Linked DNA regions of Macaca fascicularis. Each later gene encodes a partner of the first gene's protein in a complex. Links are inferred from orthologs where the notes say so. Each region holds a gene or a part of one and is shown in the gene's direction. Other genes may lie near its edges.

The links.
Region 2: the proteins of GNA13 (region 1) and ADGRD1 are in contact, whole or in part, in a cryo-EM structure (PDB 9V0U), measured with the Homo sapiens proteins. The link is inferred for Macaca fascicularis from reciprocal best matches to the Homo sapiens genes GNA13 and ADGRD1. Residues at the interface, in NP_006563.2 of Homo sapiens: Val49, Val216, Phe218, Phe359, Val362, Lys363, Asp364, Ile366, Leu367, His368, Asn370, Leu371, Gln373, Leu374, Met375; in NP_942122.2 of Homo sapiens: Asn599, Arg601, Leu657, Met660, Val661, Ile662, Val664, Phe665, Ser667, Val737, Ile738, Ile741, Ala761, Val764, Asn810.
Region 3: the proteins of GNA13 (region 1) and GNB1 are in contact, whole or in part, in a cryo-EM structure (PDB 8H8J), measured with the Homo sapiens proteins. The link is inferred for Macaca fascicularis from reciprocal best matches to the Homo sapiens genes GNA13 and GNB1. Residues at the interface, in NP_006563.2 of Homo sapiens: Ser31, Ile34, Asp35, Leu38, Glu41, Lys42, Val45, Lys50, Gly205, Ile206, Glu208, Lys219, Val221, Lys231, Arg232, Trp233, Phe234, Glu235, Cys236, Phe237, Asp238, Ser239, Val240, Arg279; in NP_001269468.1 of Homo sapiens: Gly53, Leu55, Lys57, Tyr59, Gln75, Asp76, Lys78, Ile80, Thr87, Asn88, Lys89, Val90, His91, Ala92, Ser98, Trp99, Met101, Leu117, Asp118, Asn119, Tyr145, Asp186, Met188, Asp228, Arg314, Trp332.
Region 4: the proteins of GNA13 (region 1) and S1PR2 are in contact, whole or in part, in a cryo-EM structure (PDB 7T6B), measured with the Homo sapiens proteins. The link is inferred for Macaca fascicularis from reciprocal best matches to the Homo sapiens genes GNA13 and S1PR2. Residues at the interface, in NP_006563.2 of Homo sapiens: Arg47, Val216, Phe359, Lys363, Asp364, Ile366, Leu367, His368, Asp369, Asn370, Leu371, Gln373, Leu374, Met375, Leu376, Gln377; in NP_004221.3 of Homo sapiens: Ser66, Met68, Tyr69, Leu72, Arg130, Ala133, Ile134, Lys136, Val137, Lys138, Leu139, Tyr140, Tyr209, Ile212, Val216, Ser219, Gln227, Thr228, Leu231, Leu232, Val235, Tyr288.
Region 5: the proteins of GNA13 (region 1) and GPR4 are in contact, whole or in part, in a cryo-EM structure (PDB 9JHP), measured with the Homo sapiens proteins. The link is inferred for Macaca fascicularis from reciprocal best matches to the Homo sapiens genes GNA13 and GPR4. Residues at the interface, in NP_006563.2 of Homo sapiens: Arg47, Pro341, Tyr343, Phe359, Lys363, Asp364, Ile366, Leu367, His368, Asn370, Leu371, Lys372, Gln373, Leu374, Met375, Leu376, Gln377; in NP_005273.1 of Homo sapiens: Gln45, Asn50, Arg115, Ala118, Val119, Ala120, Pro122, Leu123, Ala126, Ile204, Val208, Ser211, Val212, Ser213, Thr214, Glu218, Lys221, Ile222, Leu225, Asn290, Glu291, Gly292, Ala293.
Region 6: the proteins of GNA13 (region 1) and GPR35 are in contact, whole or in part, in a cryo-EM structure (PDB 8H8J), measured with the Homo sapiens proteins. The link is inferred for Macaca fascicularis from reciprocal best matches to the Homo sapiens genes GNA13 and GPR35. Residues at the interface, in NP_006563.2 of Homo sapiens: Lys46, Arg47, Leu48, Val49, Lys214, Asn215, Val216, Phe218, Arg331, Gln337, Gln338, Lys340, Pro341, Leu342, Tyr343, Phe359, Arg360, Asp361, Lys363, Asp364, Ile366, Leu367, His368, Asn370, Leu371, Lys372, Gln373, Leu374, Met375, Leu376; in NP_005292.2 of Homo sapiens: Phe45, Gln51, Thr53, Thr55, Met59, Asp113, Arg114, Ala117, Val118, Pro121, Leu122, Arg123, Arg125, Arg128, Ala197, Leu198, Arg201, Pro202, Thr204, Asp205, Gly207, Gln208, Ala211, Ala215, Met218, Val219, Ala280, Lys281, Glu282.

What each region holds. Positions count from the first base shown.
Region 1 is NC_088390.1:71,456,477-71,459,976, reverse strand, and holds part of GNA13 (guanine nucleotide-binding protein subunit alpha-13), read left to right. Parts: intron 1-1,864; coding exon 1,865-2,437; 3' UTR 2,438-3,500. UniProt on the Homo sapiens protein: Guanine nucleotide-binding proteins (G proteins) are involved as modulators or transducers in various transmembrane signaling systems.
Region 2 is NC_088385.1:138,254,999-138,258,498, forward strand, and holds part of ADGRD1 (adhesion G-protein coupled receptor D1), read left to right. Parts: intron 1-576; coding exon 577-618; intron 619-1,689; coding exon 1,690-1,782; intron 1,783-2,780; coding exon 2,781-3,004; 3' UTR 3,005-3,500. UniProt on the Homo sapiens protein: Adhesion G-protein coupled receptor (aGPCR) for androgen hormone 5alpha-dihydrotestosterone (5alpha-DHT), also named 17beta-hydroxy-5alpha-androstan-3-one, the most potent hormone among androgens. Also activated by methenolone drug.
Region 3 is NC_088375.1:233,006,564-233,010,063, forward strand, and holds part of GNB1 (guanine nucleotide-binding protein G(I)/G(S)/G(T) subunit beta-1), read left to right. Parts: coding exon 1-26; intron 27-2,667; coding exon 2,668-2,869; intron 2,870-3,500. UniProt on the Homo sapiens protein: Guanine nucleotide-binding proteins (G proteins) are involved as a modulator or transducer in various transmembrane signaling systems.
Region 4 is NC_088393.1:10,782,064-10,786,332, reverse strand, and holds the start of S1PR2 (sphingosine 1-phosphate receptor 2), read left to right. Parts: upstream 1-1,469; 5' UTR 1,470-1,601; intron 1,602-4,269. UniProt on the Homo sapiens protein: Receptor for the lysosphingolipid sphingosine 1-phosphate (S1P). S1P is a bioactive lysophospholipid that elicits diverse physiological effects on most types of cells and tissues.
Region 5 is NC_088393.1:53,667,667-53,671,958, reverse strand, and holds the start of GPR4 (G-protein coupled receptor 4), read left to right. Parts: upstream 1-1,492; 5' UTR 1,493-1,695; intron 1,696-2,014; exon of another isoform or gene 2,015-2,080; intron 2,081-3,467; exon of another isoform or gene 3,468-3,645; intron 3,646-4,292. UniProt on the Homo sapiens protein: Proton-sensing G-protein coupled receptor activated by extracellular pH, which is required to monitor pH changes and generate adaptive reactions. Activated by an optimal pH of 6.8-7.2.
Region 6 is NC_088386.1:136,480,189-136,484,251, forward strand, and holds the start of GPR35 (G-protein coupled receptor 35), read left to right. Parts: upstream 1-1,263; 5' UTR 1,264-1,371; intron 1,372-2,260; 5' UTR 2,261-2,486; intron 2,487-4,063. UniProt on the Homo sapiens protein: G-protein coupled receptor that binds to several ligands including the tryptophan metabolite kynurenic acid (KYNA), lysophosphatidic acid (LPA) or 5-hydroxyindoleacetic acid (5-HIAA) with high affinity, leading to rapid and transient activation of numerous intracellular signaling pathways.

The sequences.
Region 1 (3,500 bases):
CCACCTACTTTTTAAAAATTCTTAATTCTGGCTGGGCGCAGTGGCTCACGCCTATAATCCCAGCACTTTGGGAGGCCAAGGCGTCCCAAATCACTTGAGGTCAGGAGTTCAAGACCAGCCTGGCCAAAATGGTGAAACCCCATCTTTACTAAAAATACAAAAAATTAGCCGGCCGTGGTGGTGCACGCCTATAGTCCCAGCTACTCGGGAGGCTGAGGCAGGGGAATCGCTTGAACCCAAGAGGTGGAAGTTGGAGTGAGCTGCACTCCAGCCTGGGCAACAGAGCAAGTCTGCATCTCAAAAAAGTATGTATATATATGTTCTTAATTCCATTGCAGTATTTTGAGACAGTGAGTATTCTTGTTGTAATGAAATTTCAAAATCATATTACACTATTCAGAAAGGCATAAAGTGCAGCATTGTGAATAACGGTCAGCATTGTTTTAAATCCTGCCTTGATTTTTAAAATATTTTGACCTTGATGATAAATATTAGCTGTTCTGCCCATGTAGTACCAGAAAGCTGTGTTGTAGTTTTGGAAAAATGCTAGACTAAGAAGGAAGAACCAGTTACATTGCATAAGGAAGTGTGCCATCACAGAGTAGCTGGTGACTTGTGTGACCAGCAGCTTCTGTTTGTTCGGGGTCTTACAGTTCACTGACCAAGAGTGCAGAGAAGAGCTCATTTGATCCTTGCAACAGCCCTCCCTCCCAGGTAGACAGGCCAAGTGTGATCACCTCCATTTCACAGACACAGGTGCTGGCACTCAGAGTAAGTGACTAGTTTGAGTTCTTGGGTCAATAAGTAAGAAAGCTGGAACATAGTTAATTATAGGAGAGAAAGGGTTTTTCACACGTAATACAGCAGCAGTGAAAACATAGAAGTTCTAAGTTGTGAGTGGGGTTGCACAGTAAAGGAACTTTTAGAATAGGTTAGGAGAGGTGGGCAGAACTTGGAACTAGGGAGTGATCCTTGTGAATTGGCACTGGAATCAGATCCTATGGCCTTTTTTTTTTTTTTTTTTTTTAAGACGAAGTCTCACTCTGTCACTCAGGCTGGAGTGCAGTGGCGTGATCTCAGCTCAGGCTCACTGCAAGCTCCACCTCCCGGGTTCACGCCACTCTCCTGCCTCAGCCTCCCAAGTAGCTGGGACTACAGGTGCCCGCCACCACACCTGGCTAATTTTTTTTTGTATTTTTGGTCGAGACGGGGTTTCACTGTGTTAGCCAGGATAGTCTCAATGTCCTGACCTCGTGATCCGCCTGTCTCAGCCTCCCAAAGTGCTGGGATTACAGGTGTGAGCCACCGAACCCAACCCCCATGGCTTTTAATAGATGAGCAAGGAGCAGTGTGGAGAAGGTGGATATGCAGACAGGAAGATCACTCTGGCTAGAACCAAGAGTGGCTAATAGTGGGGAGTAAAATTGCAGGTAGATATATAGCAGTGAGGGCGAGTGAGAACAATTGATAAGACTTCAGCTTAAATTTGGAGTAGTATTGCGAGGATGAAAACAAGTAGATTCTGGCCATTTGTAGTAAATTTTGAACCCATCCTGCTAACATTTTAATGTATCTTGGCTTTTTTGCGGGGAGCACAAATGGGGTCTTGCTCTATTGCTCAGTGTACTCTCAAACTCCTGGCTTCAAGTGGTCCTCCTGCCTCAGCCTCCCAAAGTGCTGGGATTACAGGCGTGAGCCACCATGTCTGACTAGTCTTAACATTTTATAGTAAACATAATCTATCTGAAAATGTCATTTAAAAGGTCATTTTGTTGCATATCTATTCACTAGTCCAGTTAGTAGTCCATTAAGAATTCGAATTACTTCTGGATTGCTAAGTATAAAACAATTTTTCCTTTTCCAGGATTATATTCCATCACAACAAGATATTCTGCTTGCCAGAAGACCCACCAAAGGCATTCATGAATATGACTTTGAAATTAAAAATGTTCCTTTCAAAATGGTTGATGTAGGTGGTCAGAGATCAGAAAGGAAACGTTGGTTTGAGTGTTTCGACAGTGTCACATCAATACTTTTCCTTGTTTCCTCAAGTGAATTTGACCAGGTGCTTATGGAAGATCGACTGACCAATCGCCTTACAGAGTCTCTGAACATTTTTGAAACAATCGTCAATAACCGGGTTTTCAGCAATGTCTCCATAATTCTGTTCTTAAACAAGACAGACTTGCTTGAGGAGAAGGTGCAAATTGTGAGCATCAAAGACTATTTCCTAGAATTTGAAGGGGATCCCCACTGCTTAAGAGACGTCCAAAAATTCCTGGTGGAATGTTTCCGGAACAAACGCCGGGACCAGCAGCAGAAGCCCTTATACCACCACTTCACCACTGCTATCAATACGGAGAACATCCGCCTTGTTTTCCGTGATGTGAAGGATACTATTCTGCATGACAACCTCAAGCAGCTTATGCTACAGTGATGTACAAAAGACTTGCTGTTTTAATATCTTTTTGTGTTTTTGATGTTTTCTGTTTGTTTTGTTTTTTAAAATAGCAGTTTACAACCAGAATTAGAACAATCTTAATTCTATGTTTAACTTCTTGAAAATCTTAGTACTTTTTCTGCGGCCTTTGGTTTGTGGCTGAAAGCTGTTGAGTGACACATCGCCAAGATTTGCTGTAATGCAGGCTTTGATCTGTTTCACCATGGCTTCTATTCAAGTCCGGTTAAAACTTCCCAGCTGACCTCAGACTAGGCATATTTCAGGCTTTAAATTATTCTACTTTTCAAACTGAATTCTCCTGCAGTGCCAAGTATCAAAGGTGTCCTTAAATACTTGTAGGGATGAGGTTAGGAATATTCAGTTCCAAAGCAAGTAAGGTATCTTCTGTCCGCCTTACACACAGCAGTGCCACTTGTTGCCTAACTCTGTGGTGACCTCCCATTTTGTAAGGGCTATTAGAAAAAAGTTTGATCTAAGAAATGGCATTCTGTAGATTCATAGAAGGTTTAGCCTTCATGTTTTAATTGCTTGTGTACACAACAGCTGTTCTGCTTTTAGATTTCTGTGTTTCTGAAGGTAATGTTCTTCGTGTTTTCAAGTTTACATAAGGTCTTTGGTCTGATGCTGATGAAGAATTCACAGGTGGTACGGGAGAGCAAAAGGCAAGCAAATGCTATTTACCGTGTTTTGGTCAAACGTAATGAGTGAAATAGCATTTGCCTTTCTCATATTTAATTATCATGTAGTTTAATGTACCATATGTGAAACATTCTGGCCATAGCAGCAACTAAAAACTGCAAGCAACTTGGTAACAGAACTCTCTAAATAAACTTAACCTGTTCCAGAATGTCATATAGTTGACTTTTAAGCCCTATCTCAGTTGGTCAGTAAAGACCAGTCCTTACTGTAGGAAATCATTGTGTATCATCACAAACATCTAGATATCTTTTGCTGTCCTGTCCAGTCCCATCAGCTCCACACTGTGGCATTTGTGGGATTGTTTTGTTTATTTGGAGCTTGCCAAGGGCAGTATTTTTCT
Region 2 (3,500 bases), on another chromosome or scaffold:
GCACGTCCTGGCTGGGAATGGAGGGACAGTAAGACAGTCAGCCTGTGGCAGCTCTGGAAAGAGAGTCAGGCAAAGAGGTGGCCAGGGCAGTCCTCAGGTGCTGCCCTCTGTGTGAAGGGCCTGGGAACCAAAGACTTGGGATGCCAAGGGTCAGGGACCTCAGACCCATGGGCCCGCAAGGGAGGGCAAGCATGGGTCCCCTTCACCATCCATGGCCCTCCCGGCCCTCCCCAGGCTACTCGAGTTGTGTCTGTGTCTGCAGGCTGGTGGCACGTCTTCCGGAAGTGCCTGCCCTTGCCCCGCACTGAGCCTGCCTGGGAACCCACCTGCCGTTGCACCTTTGCCCACGCAGCCCCCCCCGCTCTGAACTCGGTCCAAGCAGCTGCCCAAATCTAGGTTGGATCACAGGGTGGGACCCAGGACACCCCTCCGTCCTCACAGGCCCCAGGTCATGGGACCTGGTGTCACAGCGTGCGGTGCCAGTGTCACTCTCAGGCTGCATGGGAGGAACCTCCAGACAGTGTTCCGAACTACATGCAAAGGGCTCTAATCTCCGTTTCTTCCCTCCCTTCCCAGGGACTGTTCATCTTCCTCTTCCATTGTCTCCTGAATTCAGAGGTACGTCCACTCTACTTCCTAGCAGTATGAAGCTGGCTTTTCCTTTCTGAAAGGTCACAGGAGTGGGAATAGCGTTGCCCTATCAGGGTGGTGTCTGGGACTCAAATCCTGAGCCAGCTGTGTTCCTGATGACAAGTTGTGTGCCCTGGGCCTGCTGCTCAGCAACTCTTCTCTCCCTGCCTCCTTGCTAAGCGATGGACAAGCATCTTCTCTCCCTGGAGAAGTGGCGACTGCATCCTGGGGAAATGCAGGCGTGTTCCCCAAAGTCCTCCTCAAGGCCTTGGGGAAGCTGGCCTGGCTGTGAGAGGGAGGACTGCTGTCCATGGGAGCTGGGAAGGGGACTTTTGTGATGTGGCTTCCTTGGACTGGGGCAGCCAGCACAGGCTCATTCTTCTCGGTGCTGCTCTGAGCCTGGCACCTGCCATGTACTTGGCTGGGGGAAAGCAGGGGCTGCCCCAAGGACTTCTGTTCCTGTGGGAGAACTTTTCCCAAGTCAGCTTTGAGCCCCTGCCAGGCTGAGGTTGTGGGAGCTGCCTTGGGGTGGGGAATGGGCCAGGGCAGAGGGGTCACCCTGCCCGGTCTCTCTCAGTGGCGGTGTCCGTTTGCAAGGACAGGCCAAGTGGGCCGAGGAGGGCAGAGTCGCTGAGCAGGATGGTGACCGGGCAGAAGGGCTGCATGATCACAACACCCAGTGACCCCTTGCAAGGCCTGAGGTGGATCCGGGTGGCAGGAAGGCCGTGCAGCCATGGAAGTCTACCCACCCGCCCGCCACGCATTTTTATTTATTTGCTTCTCTCTCACACTCACCCCGGGACATTCACTGCTGTGTGTGAGGAGCCCAGCAGAGTCCACTCCAGACCCAGCTTCCCTGGCCTGCGGCACAACCTGGGTCTGCCACACAGAGCAGCGATGCACAGCTCAGCTGTGGAGCCACTAGCTCCGACTCTGTTATTTCCAAATCCCAACCTTCCCCGCACATCTGCTTCCAGGGTTGCACTGGCACAGACTCCTCTGGTTACGGCTGTTGCAGCCTCTGAAATTGCTTCTTGTGATCCCTTCCCTGCTTTTAAGGTGAGAGCTGCCTTCAAGCACAAAACCAAGGTCTGGTCCCTCACGAGCAGCTCCAGCCGCACAGCCAACGCGAAGCCCTTCCACTCGGACATCGTGAGTGCAGCCTCCTTAAACCGAGGGTCCCAGCCCATCCTCCATCCCCAGGCTCGGTCGTCAGCAGGATGGCGTGTGCAGGCAGCAGGATGGGATGTGCGGGCAGCAGGATGGGGTGTGCATCAGCAGGATGGGGTGTGCAGGCAGCAGGATGGGGTGTGCAGGCAGCAGAGGTGGCTTCGGGTGCCCAGCAGTCTTTGTCCCCCTCTCCTGCCTGACTCCAGCCCGCAGGCTGCACGTGCTCTGGGCTCGTGTCCCCGTCACAGTGCCCTGTGTCATGATGAAGTCACCACAGCCCTCCCCTTTGACCCTGAAGGGTCAGGGCTTCTTGTGTTCACTTAGGGATGGAAGGACTTAGAGATCAACTGACCATGAGGTGGCCCATCCCTGCTGCCCTCCAGAGCCCAGGCAGTCTGGAGCCGGCCCTGTTAGGGTTCTCACTGCGCCACTGCTTCCCACCTGCTGGAGCCTGCTCCAGTGTCCCATCCTCAGAAGTCCTTCCCCGCATATGGTGCTCAATCAAGGCACTCCCACCCAATTTTGCACTCCGCCTCCACCCACAGCTGTGTGGTTTTCCATTTGCTTAGGGACCATGTCTGCCCTGCTCCACGGGAGCTGGCTGGCTCATGCACTGCTCTAGCCCCACAGCTACAACTGTGCCAGGTGCGTGGCACGCTCCATGACTCACCATGGAATGACACCAGCATGGACAGATGCACGGGGGTGAAAGCGTGGGTGCCGGGTGGATGGGTGAGCAGAGGAGGGAGTGAGCACTCAGCACAGCATGCTTGTGGTGCCGGAAGGGAGGTCAGTGTGGAGAACTCTGCAGGTGGAGATGCCACAGTGTACACATCTTCATCTCCCCCAGGGGATGCACCTTGCCCCACCGCAGGGAGAATCCTCAGGCAGCTGTGGGCCCAGTGCTCCCCGTGCTCACTGGGCTTATGGCTCTCCCCCGGGAGCAGGCCCTTCACTGCTCATCCGTTTATGCTTTGCAGATGAATGGGGCCCGGCCAGGCACGGCCTCCACCAAGCTCAGCCCCTGGGACAAGAGCAGCCACTCTGCCCACCGCATAGACCTGTCAGCCGTGTGAGCCGGGAGGCTGCCAACCAGGCCAGGCTGCGCTCAGAACACCGCCCCCCCAAACGGAATGAAACTCCGCATCTTTGCCCGTGGGACCCTCTCCTTACCGCTGTCTGGACTTGGGTGTTATGGCCCTGAGATAGCCGTCCTCCCGTGACTCTGGCTGTCAGAGCACACTGCTGAGTCCAGCAGCCTGATACCCAGGCCAGCGTGGGCCCTCCTGCCTCACGTCCACCTGTGGGCTGAGTGACTCCCTCTGGGGACTCCCAGGACACAGTGGCCTGACGGTGATGGTGCCCTTGAGCCTCCCTTCGTCACTGAGCACCAGACCCAGCGAGGCCAGGACACTCAGGTCCCGCAGCCCCAGGAAGGGACGTTCAGCCTCTGTGCCTTGGTGGGACTTGGGGACTCAGGGCCAAAGAGGTGGTTCAGGTCCCCATGCACCCCCAGACAGTCAGGTGCAGGCAGCTGGGGGTGTGTGGGGAAGAGCATGAGGAGTCCCCAGGGTCTGAATTCACTGGTGAGTTCCCCACAGTTGGCGCCAGCCATGGTGTCTCCATAGGTGGTGCCAGCGTGGGCCAACCTGTGCTGTCATCAGTTTGGGCCCTGCCCAAGCCGAGCTCAAGCCGTGGGC
Region 3 (3,500 bases), on another chromosome or scaffold:
GTCACCAGCTCTGGAGACACCACATGGTAAGTACCTGACCCGGGGCAGGCAGTGCGTTGAGAACCCCACACCCCTGGCACATTCCTCTGTGAACATGGAGGAAATAAGGTTCTTGACATAATATTAGGCCATCTTTAATTTAAGTGGCCTTAAGATTTTAAACACATAGTAGCAATGTGTGAATTCATTATACTTTTTTTTTTTTTTGAGACGGAGTTCTGCTCTTGTTACCCAGGCTGGAGTACAATGGTGCAATCTTGGCTCTGTGACCTCCACCTGCCAGGTTCAAATGATTCTCCTGCCTCATCCTCCCAAGTAGCTGGGATTACAGGTGCCTGCCACCATGCCTGACTAATTTTTGTATTTTTAGTAGACCAGGTTTTACCACGTTGGCCAGGCTGGTCCTGACTCCTGACCTCAGGTGACCTGCCCACCTCGGCCTCCCATTACAGGCGTGAGCCACCATGCCCAGCCTCATTATACTCTCATTATACTTTTAATAAATTTACAAAGTTTAATTTTCAGCAGCTAAGAACTAAAATACAAACTTTTTTTTGTTTGTTTGTTTGAGACAGAATCTTGCTCTGTCTCCAGGCTGGAGTGCAGTGGCGTGATCTCGGCTCATTGCAACCTCTGCCTCCCGGGTTCACGCTATTCTCCTGCCTCAGCCTTCCGAGTAGCTGGGACTATAGGCGCCCGCCACCACGTCCGGTTAATTTTTGTATTTTCAGTAGAGACAGGATTTCACCATGTTGGCCAGGATGGTCTTGATCTCTTGACCTCGTGATCTGCCCACCTCAGCCTCCCAAAGTGCTGGGATTACAGGAGTGAGCCACCACACCTGGCCAATAAAGATATTTTAACTACAATCAGGCTGAAAGTACTGCTCTTCTGTTTTTTTTCCCATCTGTATGTCTGTACCTCCTTAGGTGATGCTAGGTGGGAGCAGGGTGGGTTTTGATTGTCCCTTTCTGATAGCACCGTGTCACTGTGAACAATGAGCACATACTAAAACTAACAGACGTCACAATTCAAGCGATTCCATCAGACTTCATTTTTAGTGTTTTCACCTTACAGGTGAACAGAAACCCACTTAAAACACTAGAAGTTTTTCATTTGTGGCATCAAAGTACTAAATTAAATATCCAGCTAGTTATTTTATGAGTCATTTTAGACTTCAGCTGGCCATGTGGGTTTTTCTGGTCTTCTGAGGCATGATTTGGTGGCAGGAGCTGTGTCCAGGCCAGGGCACAGACCTCTAGTCACGCAGTTGGTAGGGTTCACCGAGACATGGGTCCTTAACCAACTTATTAGCAAAGCATCTGTGGTATTATAAGGTGTCTCGTTGTATAAATTTCATAGATTTACAAAAGATTTGTCACCTAGATTGTCAATCTTGAGAAGACTTTATTTATTAGAAGATATTTTTAAAGCGCTTCTGTTCATTAATCATTTTTTTCAGACTCTCTTACGTATCTTGCTTCCCTTCTGCAGTCAGTCCCTCAGGCCCTAGAGAGGAGACTCCCTGTGGGGTGTCTGTTGAGATCGGCTGGTTGGATTTGCATTGCCAGGCCCAGCCAGACTTTCCTCTGAGGCTGACAGGAACGGACAGTGCTCTCTGGTGTTGCCTTCCGTGCGTCAAGGCACAGGAGAATAGCACATTTTTAGGCGTGTGGCCTTCAGAGCTGTCCTTACACCTAAGCCAGGCTTCTGCTCTGTGCAGGGCTCTGTCAGCGTCTCACCTTTTGACAGTTCGTTAAGCAGAAACACAATAGAATACCAGGTATGGCCGGGCGCGGTGGCTCACCTCTGTAATCCCAGCACTTTGGGAGGCTGAGGTGGTTGGATCACCTGAGGTCGGGAATTCGAGACCAACCTGACCAACATGGAGAAACCCCGCCTCTACTAAAAATATTAAAAAAAAATTAGCCAGGCATGGGTGGCACATGCCTGTAATCCCAGCTACTTGGGAGGCTGAGGCAGGAGAATCGCTTGAACCCGGGAAGCGGAGGTTGCAGTGAGCCAAGATCGCGCCATTGCACTCCAGCCTGGGCAACAAGAGTGAAACTCACTGTCAAAAAAAAAAAAAAGAATACCAGGTGTGATCACTGAGAACTCAGCTGCTCTCCTGTTTGTGATTCCAGGAAAGGGCAGGGGGACCTCAGAATTGCTGCGAGCCATTTGTTTACCTGCCATTGGCCTTCTCCTGCCTGCCTTTTCTAAGATCCTGTGGAGGGGAGGCCAGGGGAGGGCACAGAGGGAGCAGCCACAGGTAGAGTCGCATCCCCCTCCGCTATCCAGGGCCTCCCCATGGCTTCCTGCCACCCCCTCCATGCCCATCCATGACTGAAGAGTGGGACACAGCCTCAGTGTTGCTGCTTGAAAAGTGCCCCTAGCTCCCTCTTTGCTGGCGTTTGAGTTGAGGTAGTGATCCCGTCATTCTGAAACCCAGGCCGTGTGCTCATCTCTGTATAATTTTGCTTACTTTGCTTTGTTTCCCTTCCAAAGTTGTATTACATTTAAATTTGTCTTTAAACAATTTACGTTTTTAAAGTAACAGTGCAGAGGCTCACTGTGGCCCTGGGTGGTTTGAAGGACAGACTGTCATATGACTAGCCACCCGAGAAGTTGAGGCTGATGTCCCCTTGTCATTCGCTCCTGCTCCAGTGCCCTGTGGGACATCGAGACCGGCCAGCAGACGACCACGTTTACCGGACACACTGGAGATGTCATGAGCCTTTCTCTTGCTCCTGATACCAGACTGTTTGTCTCTGGTGCTTGTGATGCTTCAGCCAAACTCTGGGATGTGCGAGAAGGCATGTGCCGGCAGACCTTCACCGGCCACGAGTCTGACATCAATGCCATTTGCGTGAGTCTGGGTGAAGGTGTGGGGTCGGGGCCTCTGCTGTCTCTGCTAGCCGTTCAGATTGCTAAATTTTAAACTTTTCTGGATTAGATGTTCTCCTTTCTGATCCTTATACAACCTCGTCTGCAGATGGGGATACAGAAAACTCCCCGTGGGAAACGTCTCTATGTTGACCACTTGTCTTATAGATATTCACAGGGTGTCTGTTATGTGCCAGTCCCCGTTCCCACCTGTACAGCTGAGCAGCGGTTGGGATCCTGGAGGGGAGAGACAGTAAGGTAACTCAGGCCACCAGTTACCGGTTACAGAGCCTTACTGGTCAGGGGCACAGCTAACCAGGAAACCTGCTCTCCTCTTTAGCACGCAGATGGCTAGGCAGTGTTTCCAGCCCCTGGCCTTGTGAGGAGATGTGGAAGGATGTATCTGTTGGTTGGATAGAGCTCTGCTGCAGTCCTGACCACTGCCCTGCTCAGCCCACTTCGCTCCTTCCTCCATGAGATTAGCCCTGATGTCTGGCAGCTACAGCAGCATGCACACCTGTCAGTGATGACTCCTTTCTCACTATTCCTTTGAAATAAATTCTACTCTTTGGGGACAGTAATCACAGTGTCCAAGATCACAGTGTTTATGTGCT
Region 4 (4,269 bases), on another chromosome or scaffold:
CCAGCCTGGGAGACAAAGGGACACTCTGTCTCAAACAAAAAAATTTGTTGAGGGAATGAGGGGCTGTCCTTTCCTGTTGTCAAACTGCTGGTTACACACACACACACACACACGTACACAAACATCATTCGATGAAGGTGTAGTGTGCATAATTTCTACAGGTAGGCACACAGAAACGCCCAGGAATGAGTGAAAATTGGAAAACTGGATAGAAGACTGGGCCAGATGCCAGAAGGCAGGCACAAACTGGGCCTTGCTGGTGCCCCCTGCCAGAGGGGACAGTGATCTACAGGAGCAGGAAAGACTGTGGAGTGTCCCCAGTCCCCCAGGGGAGAGAGGGCAGCACCTGAATTCTGGAGTTCTATCAAGGGAGAGACTGGTCAGGCTCAGTGGCTCACACCTGTCATTCCAGCACTTTGGGAGGCCGAGGCAGGAGGATTGCTTGAATGCAACAGTTCAAGACCAGCCTGAGCAACATAGCGAGACCCCCATCTCTACAAAAAACTGCAAAAAATTAGCCAGGTGTGATGGCGTACCTGTAGTCCCAGCTACTCTGGAGGCTGAGGTAGGAGGTTGAGGCTCCCGTGAGCTATGATTGAGCCACTGCACTATGGCCTGGGTGACAGAGTGAGACCCTGTCTCAAAAAAGGAAAAAAGGCCGGGCGTGGTGGCTCAAGCCTGTAATCCCAGCACTTTGGGAGGCCGAGATGGGTGGATCACAAGGTCAGGAGATTGAGACCATCCTGGCTAACACGGTGAAACCCCATCTCTACTAAAAAATACAAAAACTAGCCGGGCGAGGTGACGGGCGCCTGTAGTCCCAGCTACTTGGGAGGCTGAGGCAGGAGAATGGCGTGAACCCGGGAGGCGGAGCTTGCAGTGAGCTGAGATCCGGCCCCACTGCACTCCAGCCTGGGCGACAGAGCAAGACTCCGTCTCAAAAAAAAAAAAAAAAAAAAAAAAAAAAAGGGAGAGACCAATTTTGTCTTTGGGACAGGACATCGCACTTAGTAGGAATTTCATTATTTGTTGGGTGGGCATACAATAGGCACTTAATGCCTATTTGCAGCGTTGACACCTAGTAGGTACTTCCAAGGCTCTTTGTTGAGTAAATAAAGGTGACCTCGTGTTTTCTTCCAAGTCCAGGGTCCCGGGGTGAGCCCAGAGGTAACCTGGAGTTGAAGACAGCTGTTTCAGGTTGAGGCCACCTGGCCAAGAGTACTGTGACGTCACTAGGCTGCGTGACGTTTCCCGCTGGCCGGTTCTCACGGGTGGGGGCTGGGAGGGGCAAAGCGAGAGGTGGGGGGGCGGACAAAGGGGCCCTCCGTGCAGCTCCTGTCTGCCCCCGCGTGCGTCCCGGCCAGCCGGCAGGCCACATCTGGAATTCATTGCAGCCGCCGCCGGAAAGGGGAGGAGAGGAGGGCGGGGCGAGCGGGGGGCAGAGGCGGTGGCGGCTCACCCCGCCCCCCCACTGTCCCTCGTCCCAGCCCCGGGACGTAGCCGAGCCCGGCGGGCAACCCCAGCCCCAGCCGCGGCCGCCCTGGGGACGCAGACGCCAAGGCCCCTCCGGCCAGGGCCGGGAGCCGGGCCGGCCTAGCCAGGTGAGCGCGCGTAAAGACAAGGAAGCAGAAAGGGCGGGCCCTGGTCCCCTGAGGTCTCGGGATCCGAGCTAGGGGGCCCCGATCGGGAGGCTGGGGCGCGCACGCGCCGCCTGGGTTCCTGCTGCACAGAGCGGGTGGTCACCGTGCGCCCTCTCCAAGAGTCCGGGCGGCCCCCACTGCTTCGGCCGCGAACCCCCAGACTGTGCTCCCCGCCTTTCTCAGCGGCAGGAAGTTGGCGCCGGGGAGAAGGCGGAATCCGAGCGCTTTCGACTGGAGTCTTTGGGAGGCTGGACGCTGTGCCCGGGGACCAGGGTCTTGGGGAGTGTGTTTGGGGGAGGGGTGCAGCACCCCTCCTGGCTGACTCCTGCTGAGCGAGGGCAAAAGGATGTGCGCGCCTTGGAGCCTCCAAGCCAAGGGGCGGCACCCACGGGGAGGGCGGTCGCATGTCGGGCTGTCTGCCTCGGTTTCCCCAAGTTGTTTGCTCCTCCGGTTCCCCCGAGGGGGCGTGGCTTTGTTTTGGAAGGAAAGAAAAAGTGACTGCGTGGCTTAGGCGCCTCCTCTTTCAACTCCGGCTCAGGGATGGGTCGTGGGTGAAGGCGCGCGTGGCGCGGACCCCGCGTGGCCCCTGGCCGGGCTGAGCGTCGGAACTCGCCCCCTTCTCCGGCACGGGTTGACTCACCCGGGGATTTCCACCCCCTCTGTCTCTGTCCTTGTCAGATGCTCCGGGCGCCACGCGCTGAGCCCACGGTCCCCCGCGTGGGGCGACTCGGGCAGGCGCGGAACTCGCGGTGCAGCTGCTGCTACGATCTGGTCCCCCACCCCCAGTCTTTCCAGAATCTCGAGGCGGGACCCCTGGCGGGACGGAGAGGAGTCCTTCCAGTCCCGCTTGGAGACGTTGGGGTGGTCTCGTAGCGGTAGGGGGGAGAGGAGGCGTGGCTCCAGCGCAAGCGAGTGTGGATACCGCGCATTCCTAGGCCAGATAAGGAAGCCGAGAGTGCGGGTCAGCGCGGGGGCGGGTCCTGCTGCCATCTCCATGGAGACACGCTGGGCTTTGCCTGGTTGATGGTGGGCGGTGGGGGCGCTGCCCGGGGACCAGAGGTGTCTCCAGGCTCCTTCGTTGTTGTTTGGGTCTGGGCTGAAATTAGGAGATTCCACCCTTGGGAACCCACTAGGGTCTCCTTTGTTCGTTGGTTCATTCATTCATTCATTCATTTGCCCATTCCACACGTTTTCTGAGTGTTTTCTTTGTGCCAGGCATCCCTGTAGGGGCTGATAGCTGACTTGCTCCCTGGCCTTACCCATTGACTGTCTAGGTGGAAGCCAGACAGAAAAGGAGAAATATCATGATAGTTTCCCATAGTGGCAAGCGCTGCGCAGATAATAAAACAATATTCTGTGATTAGAACAGGCTTGGAGACAGCTGCTATTGTAGACTAGAGGTCAGGGGAGTCCCCTCTGAGGAAATGACCTTTAAATAGAAACCAGAAAGATGGAGAGACAGTCATTCGAAGATTTGGGGAAAGGCCAGACGCGGTGGCTCACGCCTGTAATCCCAGCAGTTTCGGAGGCTTTGGCAGGTGAATCACCTGAAGTCAGAAGTTCCAGACCAGCCTGGCCAACATGGTGAAACCCCATCTCTATTAAAAATACAAAAATTAGCTGGGTGTGGTGGTGGGTGCCTATAACGCCAGCTACTCAGGAGGCTGAGGCAGAAGGATCGCTTGAACTCAGGAGGCAGAGGTTGCGGTGAGCTGAGATCACACCACTGCACTCCAATCTGGGCAGCAGATTGAGTGTCTGTCTCAAAAAAAATTGAGGGAAAGTGTGCCCCAAAAAGAACAGCAGGGGCAAAGGCTTGCAGGTAGGGGTGGGGGTAGCATGGAGGAGGCTTAGTGTGGTTGGAGTGGAATGGCCCTGGGGGAGAATGGGAGGAAGCTTTGTGGGCAGGGGCCATGCTACTTGGGCTATAGGGAGCCATGGGAGGATTTGGAGTTGGGGAGTGACATGGAGTTATGAGTTTAAAAGCTCCCCCTGGCTGCTTGGTAGAGAATGGCAGGGTAGGGGGTCCTGACAACCACAGGGAAACCAAAAAGTAGGGTGGCTACCACGGGGGCTCCATGGGTGACCAGGGGGAACTGTAACCACAGGGCCTGCCTCTCTGGAACTGGGAGTGGGTGGAGAGGAGCTTAGAAGCCACTGAGGCTTCCTCCATCCTTCCCCTCTCCTAATCTCCAGCCAAACAGTCGTCTGAGTCTATCTTCCCTTCCTTCCAAACCCCATCACTTGTCCCTCCTGTTCTATTTCAGGCCTGGACATTCTATGTGAGCCCAGTGGCCTCTTTCTGAGCTTCTGAGAGGGAGTCAGGAAGGACTTGGTGAAGGTGACTAGGAGACAGGCTCTGTGTCCTTCTCAAAACCTGGTAACCTAACACAGGGAGGGGACACAGGCTAGGCCACAGTCCACCTAGGGGGTGACTCTTCCGCCAGCTCCAACCTCAGTGCCCTGCTTCCTCTTTCTGGGACGTGTCAACCACCTAAGTGCTTGCCTCAGTAAAGTCCTAGTGGTTAAAGTGAGGCTTGGATAAAATATGGGCCTCAGTTTCCCCTTCTCTAGGAGAGCTGCCTCTCCCTCTGTGAATGCCTTAACCTCCCCGGGCTGCAGAAGGTGA
Region 5 (4,292 bases), on another chromosome or scaffold:
ATGTCCTTGCACTCCAGCCTGGGCACAGCAAGACTCTGTCTCAAAAAAAAAAAAAAAAAATCAAACCTGACAGCTATCATTTTTTAGTGTTGTATGCCACGTCTATCTGAGGTCCCTTAACCAATAATGAATTCTCACGATTAGTTTATGAAAGATGTAAAGTCAAAAATAAAAATAAGCTAATGTTTTAGGAGCACTTATCATTCATTTGTTCACTCCCTGAAAACAGTGTATTTTTTTCTTTTTTTTCTTTGAGATGGAGTCTTGCTCTGTTGCCCAGGCTGGAGTGCAGCGGCGCGATTTCAGCTCACTGCAAGCTCCACCTCCCGGGTTTATGCCATTCTCCTGCCTCGGCCTCCGGAGTAGCTGGGACTACAGGTGCCCGCCACCACGCCCAGCTAATTTTTTTGTATTTTTAGTAGAGACGGGGTTTCACTGTGTTAGCCAGGATGGTCTCGATCTCCTGACCTCGTGATTTGCCTGCCTTGGCCTCCCAAAGTGCTGGGATTACAGGCGTGAGCCACCGCGCCCAGCCCGAAAACAATGTATTTCACACCTATCACCTGCCCAGCTGTCTTGTAGGCAACAGACATGCAACAGTAAACAAGCCAGACACAAAAATGACACTCCTCCTGGTAGGAAGGCAGACAACTAGAAAAAAATAAGGGAAACGGAGAATGTCACCTTCCCCAAAGGGTAGGGGGAAAGTAAGGCAGAGAAAGATGGGGAGTGTTGAGGTTTGGTTGGCGTATTTTACAGCCTTGATAGCACTGACACAATGAAATGAAACCCCCAAGAGAAAAGGACCATGATGACCGGCCTCGGTGGCTCAGTCTTATAATCCCAGCACTTTGGGAGGCCAAAGCAGGAGGATGGCTTGAGCCCAGGAGTTTGAGACCAGCCGAGACATAGTGAGACCCCTGTCTGTAGAAAAAAATTGTTTAAAAATTGGCCAGCTGTGGTGGCGCATGCCTGTGGTCCCAGCAACTCAGGAGGCTGAGGTAGGAGGATCACTTGAGCCTGGAAGGTTGCGGCTGCAGGGAACCATGATAGTGTCATTGCATTCCAGACTGGGCAAAAGAAAAAAAGACGTCGGGCACGGTGGCTCACACCTGTAATCCCAACACTTTTTGGAGGCTGAGGTGGGCAGATAGCTTGAGCTTAGGAGTTCGAGACCAGCCTGGCCAACATGGTGAAACCCCATCTCTATTAAAAATACAAAAATTAGCCGGGCATGGTGGTGCATACCTGTAATCCCAGCTACTTGGGAGGCCAAGGCAGGAGAATTGCTTGAACCTGGGAGGTGGAGATTGCAGTGAGACAAGATTGTGCCACTGCACTCCAGTCTGGGCAACAGAGCATGACTCCCTCTCAAAAGAAAGAAAAGAAAGAAAAAAGCAAAGCAAAGCAAAGCAAAGAAGGAAGGAAGCAAGCAGGCACCATGAGTGACCACCTTGTTTCAAAGAGGAAACTGGGGCACGGAGATGTCACTAGCCTAAGGTCTGACCAAGAGGCAGGCTGGAAGTGCAACCCCAGAGCTCCTTCTAGGGGTGGCCCTGACTTTGGAGTTGGGGACCTAACAGAACCCTTTGTTCTCCCCCTCCTACCGGCGGAAGATGCAGAAGGTTAACGGCCAGAAGATGAATGACTGAGGCCTGGGGTCTCTACGGGAGGAAATGGCTCAACTCAGGGAAGGTCAGTAGCGGGGGCCTCCTCTTCCCATAGCTGAGGGCCTGATAAAGTTGGGGGTGTGTGGTTCGAGAGAGGGGACCTTCCAGCTGGGGACTTGGAAGGACTAGTGGGTGTTCCAGCAGCAGATGAGCCTCACCCGGGGCTGGAGGTGTTGAATGGGGTGAAGTCTGAAAGGGGTTAAGGGGCAGCGGCAGTGGTGGGGTTAATGGGGGCGGGCCTGGCCGGGGCGGGGCCTCAGCTGACGGCTCAGGCCCGGGGGCCGGGAGGAGTAGCCGCTGTTCTGCCCCGCGGGGGCATCCGCTGGGTCCCCGCGCCGTCATTCAGACCGGAGACCCGGACGCAGCCGAGAGAGGTGCCGCCGCCCGCCCCGTCCAGTCGCCGCGCGCAGGTGAGTGCCGGGCCCTCCCCGGCCCCCGCGATGCTGCGAGGTCTCACTAGGTTGCCCTGCTCTTGGCGGGACCGCTCCTCCCCGCCCCTTCTGGGGCTGCCTCAGTCTCCCGCGGCGTCTCGGCGCCCGCCCCCTCTGTTGCTCTCCCTGGCTCTGCGTCTGTCTCCAACTCCCGCCTGTGTCTCTGTGTCTGTGGTCCCTCTGCCTCTGGACCTGTCTTTCTTTCTGTGTCTCTGGATGTCTCTGTCAGTTTCTTGATCTCTGCCTCTCCGGTCTCCGTCTGTCTCCGTCTGTCTCTGTCTCTCTGTTTCTGGGTCCCACCTTCCTCTGTCCCTGCCTCTGCCTCTCCCCCATCTGTTGTGGGACCTCTGGGGATGTGTCTGCCTCTATCTCCATCTCTCCCTGTCTCTGTATATCTCTTTGCTCTCTCCCTCCATGTCTCTCCGTCTCTCTCTATTGCCCTGTCTCTGTCTCTCCGTCTCTTATAACCCTGTTTTGGCACCTTCTGCTCTGTCTTCTCTCCTTCCAAATCCTCCGCATCCCGGAACTTTCCTCTGGGCTGGGAAGCTGCTTGGGAGTAGAGGGCAGGAGGCTTGTGACCTGGGGCAGGAGGACTCAAAGTGACACCCTGACCCCAGCGCCCTCTTCCCGGAGCCACCCCACTGCCCCTGAAGTCGCACCCACCCCGCCCGCCAATTTCAGGAATTCCTGGCTGGGGGGTGAACTTCCTCGCCTACTTCCTCTCTTCCAGGATTTGGCTGGGTCACCGTTAACTCTTTCCTGCTTCCGCCTCACTCTCCCCCCGGGGAACTGGACAACCCCTCCTCCCAAACTAGGCTGAGGAACAGCCCTAGAATGTCTGGGAGGCATCGGTTGTGGGATGTGGGTGTGCGCACTCGGGCTGGATGTGCATTGGGGAATTTGGGGCAGAAGTGGAGAAGATGGGGCCACACCCCCCAGTGCCCCCTCCAGAGCCCATCATCAGCACCCCTCCTCCTGAACCCACCAAGGGGGCACCCACCCCCAGATCTGTCTCTGTAGATGAACTCGACTTCAGGTTTGGGGTGAGGATGAGGAGGTTTTCTTTTCTGGGGGAATCCCAGCTGAAGAGGATAAGAGACCCATGGGGGCCCCCGGAACCCTGGGAATCATATGATCAAGAACCTTGAACGTGAATATCTTTTAATGGAAGGGCCTAGATGGAAGAAGGATCAGAGGGGAGGCCTGGAAATTCCAGATCCTTCCAATGAAAGGTCCTGGGGATACTGGAGTCCTTCAATCCAAAAAGAGGAGTGTTGAAATCTTGGCACATTTCAGTGATGGCAGCTGAGAGTTGGAAAGGGTTTGCAGAGCCACCTAGGCCAACTCCCCCCACCCCATTTTATAGATGGAGAAACTGAGGCCCAAGAGCAGAAGTCCCCACAGTGAGTCAGTGCCAGGCTGGAGGGCTGGGACCCCAGTTTTCAACCGAAGCCCAAATCCAGAGAGCTGGCTGCTTCTTCTACCACTAAGCCGGATTAATTTGGGGAAAGAGGTCTTCTCAATGAGGAGGGAGAGATGCCAGGGTGAGTAGAAATGGCTGGAATCCAGAAGAGAGGGTTTTAGAAGCAGAGGAGAGAAAATATTTCCAAAACCATGGTGGTGGGGAGGGAGAGGGGCAAGAGTTGGTTTGGGTGGAAGGGGTGGAGTTTCGGGAAGAGAAGGAGGGAGGTGGAGGGGAACCGGGATTAACTCCAGCTTCAGTCTCCTGACCCTCCGCCTGGAGCCCACCGTTCCCTCGGGGACAGGGCCTATAATTTGGTTTGTGTCTAGACAAATAATAACTCAGCTGGTGTGAGCGGGGAGGGCTGAGGCTAGGCCCACTAGGGAAAGGGTAGAGAGGAGGCCTGGATATCTCATGTCACCCCCAGGTGGTGAGAATTTAGGAACCAGGTGGAGGTGGTGACTAACATGCCCCTCTCTTCGCTCTGTGAATCCATAGTTTCTTAGAATTCTGCACAATCTTAGAAATCAGGCTGCTGGAATGTTCAAAAGCAGGCGAGAGAAGGGGGGAAAGAAAAGGAAGTGGGGCTCACTGTATTTAGTGTACGTTCCCATTTCTGTAAAAGAGAAAAGGGAAATACGTATTCCTGTTTGCTGGGGAAAGATAAAAATCACTGACGGTTTAATAATAGATTATGAAAGTCATAGAATGCTTAAAAAAATCATAGCA
Region 6 (4,063 bases), on another chromosome or scaffold:
GGGGCGCTGTGGGGCTTTTCCTGCTTTCTGGGCCAGGGGCCACAGGCCACCCAGTGACATTTCTCTCTCAGCATCTGCTGGGGTGGACTCTGCAGTGGCTGCTGCCAGCCTGGATGGGCTCCTTGCACAGCTCTGCTTATGGGGTGGAGGCCACCTAGAAACTCTCAGTCCCCTGTCAGCCTCAGAGCCGATAGCTCTGCCTGGACCATCAGCAGGCTTGTCATCGGCACCAGCATGCCTGCTCCTGGATCCCGGTGAGGCTCCCCTGCCTGTTTCACCTAGGGGCCTCTAGGGGTGCTCTGGAGCTGGGAGCCGCTGCCCAGCACTCCTGCCCTCTCCGGCCTCTCTTGGCTGTCTGCCAAGCACTTACTGGGTCTCCTATTGACCACTTGTTTTGCTGCAAGGCTGTTGGTTTACATAAAAATAGAGAAAGCTGAAGAGTTTCCTCAGCCCGTTAAGTTTTCCTGGCTCTTCTGGCGTTGCACCTGCCTGAGTTCCTTGGCGGGGCCCATCTTTGAGTTCCTTTGGGCTCCTGTAACAAAGCATCATAGCCTGGGCAGCTCATAAACAATGGTAATGCATTGCTCTCCATTCTAGAGACTGCACGTCCAAGATCGAGGCACTGGCAGACCTGGTCCCTGGTGAGGGCCTGCTTCCTGGTCCAGAGACAGCGCCTTCTGCCTGTGTCCTGACGTGGTGGAAGGTCAAGGGAACTCCCTGGGGCCCATTTTATATGGGCCCTCATCCCGTTCGTGACACCTCTGCCTTCATGACCTCATCACCTACCAGAGGTCCCCACCTTCTCATTCCTCACTTTGGGGATGAGGACTTCAGTATGTGAATTTCGGGAACACAAACGGGTCATCCACAGAAGGGCCCGTCTCTTACACAGATGCTGAGTTCCCAGTGGCCTGCGTCCCAGCAAACAAGAACTGCCCTGAAAAGCAACCTGTCTCCCCAGTGCCAGCCCTGGCAGGGCACCCAGAACTCTCAGGAATGCTCGAAGGCAGGACCTGGCCTTTCTATGGGGTCCGGGGCTGTGGGGTCCCTGGCTGTACTGTGGACCTGCAGAGCGGGGCATGTGGGCTGAAGACCGTCTCCCCACCATGGCGGGAAGGGACAAAGGGTGGCCCTGGCAGATCCGGATGGGCAGGACTGGGTGTGTCCTGTGAGAGCACCTCCTTCCTGGCCTTTCCCGTGGACTTTGCCCCACACCACCTGCCTGGGTTCCTTGCTGTCGTCACTTCCAGCTCCCGGCACAGCAGTTGGTGACTCGTTGGCGGGAGCTGTGTCCTACCCAGTCCTGATTCCGCCATCTCTCTCACAGTCCTCCAGGCTTGGACCAGCCTGGGGGGCAGCAGAGCTTCTGGGGTGAGTGTCGAGATCCTGTGCCCTGAGAGCAGTACTCGGGGAGAGGGCTGGCTGGGACAGGGCTGGCTGGGCAGGATGCAGGATGCGGCCGGCCAGGCTGGGGCCAAGGTGTTCAGACCTGAACTCTGGTCTTATGCTTTCTTCATGGTCGTGCCTTGCTCGCTGTCCCTTGGGAGGCCTCATTTGGTTTTGCTGTTTTTTGTTTGTTTTCACCTAATTTTTGCCATACTTAAGCTAGTTTTGCTGCCTTTTGAAACGAATGGAAGAATCATTTTATTCCTGGGGATGATTTGGGGCCTTTGGATCCCAACATGAAGCCCTGGACGTGCTGCTTCACCCGGGGAAGGGTCTTTTCGGCTTTGGAGCAAGGGCTTTGGAGGACAGGCTGGCCTGGGACTCTCAGCAGCTCTCGGCTCTCCGTAGCATCCTGGGGAGCTCAGACCATGGCTGCAGGGCTCTGACCATAGCCTGTAGGCCGTCTGATTAGTGCTACCTCCAAACCCTGGCCATTCCTCCCTAATCCCCAGCAGGCAGAGCCAGTGTCCACACAGACAGCACTGCCTCAGCTCTGGGCTGGGACCACAAGACTCACTTAGGGCTCCCAGGGAACATGCAGTGTCCACATAGACAGCACTGCCTCAGGTCTGTGCTGGGACCACAACACTCACTCAGGGGTCCCAGGGAACATGCACCAAGTTTAGTAGGTTTCGTCAGGAGCATATGCAGTGTCCCTCACCCAGGTCAAGGCTCAGGCTGGCCCACCTTAGCTGCCTGGGACACCCAGTCCCTTTATGAATCTGCCAGGGGAGGAGCAGCCAGGCTTGGGCTGGGGGCTGGATGGGTGTGACATTGGGCACTGTGGCATTGCGTGCCTGTCTGTGTGTTGCAGCTGACATGGGCTCATCACTTCTCCTCCACGCCCTATGAGGACATCAAAAGCGTGGACACATCACTTTCCACCATCTTTCTGCCCACTGTCCCTCCATCCTGATGCCTCCTAAGCACATGTGTGGAGTGGCAGGCACACTGCTGATAGCTGTGGATGTGGCCGTGACGTCCTTCACCCCTGCTCCCATGGCATTCATGATCCATTAGGGAGGACCGTCTGCACAAAGGTAATCCATTGACTCAGACAGGGGGTTCATAGAAAAACAGGTGAGAATGGCAGGGGGGTATTCCTTGACCAGCTGAGGGTCAGCCAAGGGCAGGAAAGGGGCTGGGCACCCTCAGGGAATGGAAAGAAGCTCTCTGTGCCTGCAGTGTGGGGAGTGGGCTTGGAGAATATGGCAATAGCTGAGGCTGGAGATGTAAGCAGGGGCCTTGAGTGTTGTTTAAGGAGCCTGAGTCTTATCTCATGGGCAATGGGGAGCCACTACGCAGTTTCAAGCAGGACCTGACATACATACATTTGAAATCTTTCTCTGGCTGGTCTTGAGGATGAATTGGAAGTAGAGGACCAACTAAAAGGTTGTTGCAGACATTAAGGTGGTGTCCTGGGTTAGGTGGGAGGTGATGGACACCAAGAGAATACCCAGGAAGCAAAACCAATAGGGCATGATGCTTGATGCTTGATTGGATTGATCACATAGATCAATATTAGGAGAACTGACATATTTCAATCCATGAACATAGTATACCCATCCATTTATTTATTTTTATTTATTTTTAATTTATATATTTTTTTGAGACAGGATCTCACTCTGTTTGTCCAGGCTGGAGTCCAATGGCAGGATTTCAGCTCACTGCAGCCTCAACCTCCTGGGCTCAGGTGATTCTCCCACCTTAGCCTCCTGAGTAGCTGCGACTACAAGCACACATCACCACACCTGGCTAATTTTTTGCATTTTTGTTTTTTAGTAGAAACATGGTTTCGCTATGTTGCCCGGGCTAGTCTCGAACTCCTGGACTCCAACAATTCACCCACCTTGGCCTCCCAGAGTGCTGGGATTATAGGCTTCAGCCACTATGCTGAACCCTCTCCATTTATTTAGATCTTCTTTAATTTCTCCCAGCAATATTTTGTAACTTTAAGCATACACGTTTTCCACTTGTGCCTAGGTACTTTGTTTTCCAATGCTTGTAAATGGTATTGTATTTTTAGTTTTATTTTCCAATTGTTTTTTGCTAGTATACAGAAATGCATTTTTTTGGTATATTAATCTTGTATCCTGTAACCTTGATAATGCATTTATTCATAGTGTTTTTCCTTCTTTTGTTCTTTTCTGGTAAATGCCTTAGGAGTTTCTTTTTCTCCCAATCCTCTGCCTTCCCCCTCTTCTTTTTCTTCTGCCTTAGGATTTTCTTTTTCTTCTTTATCCTCCTCCTCCTCCTCCTCCTCTTCTTTCTTCTTTCTTCTTCTTTTTTTTTTTTTTTAATTGAGACAGGGGCTCACTCTGTTGCCCAGGCTGGAGTACAGTGATGCAATCTTAGCCTACTGTAGCCTCAAACTCCTGGTCTCAAGTGATCTTCCCACCTCAGCTTCCCAAATAGCTAGGACTACAGGTGTGCACCATCATGCCCGGCTCATTTTTATGTGTTTTGTTGAGATTGGGTCTTGCTATGTTGCTCAGGCTGGTCTTGATCTCCTATCTTCAAGTGATCTTCTCACTTCAGCCTCCCCAAATGTTGGGATTATAGGCCTAAGCCACTGTGCCAAGCTGAATGTTCTACATGCATGATTATGTCACATGTG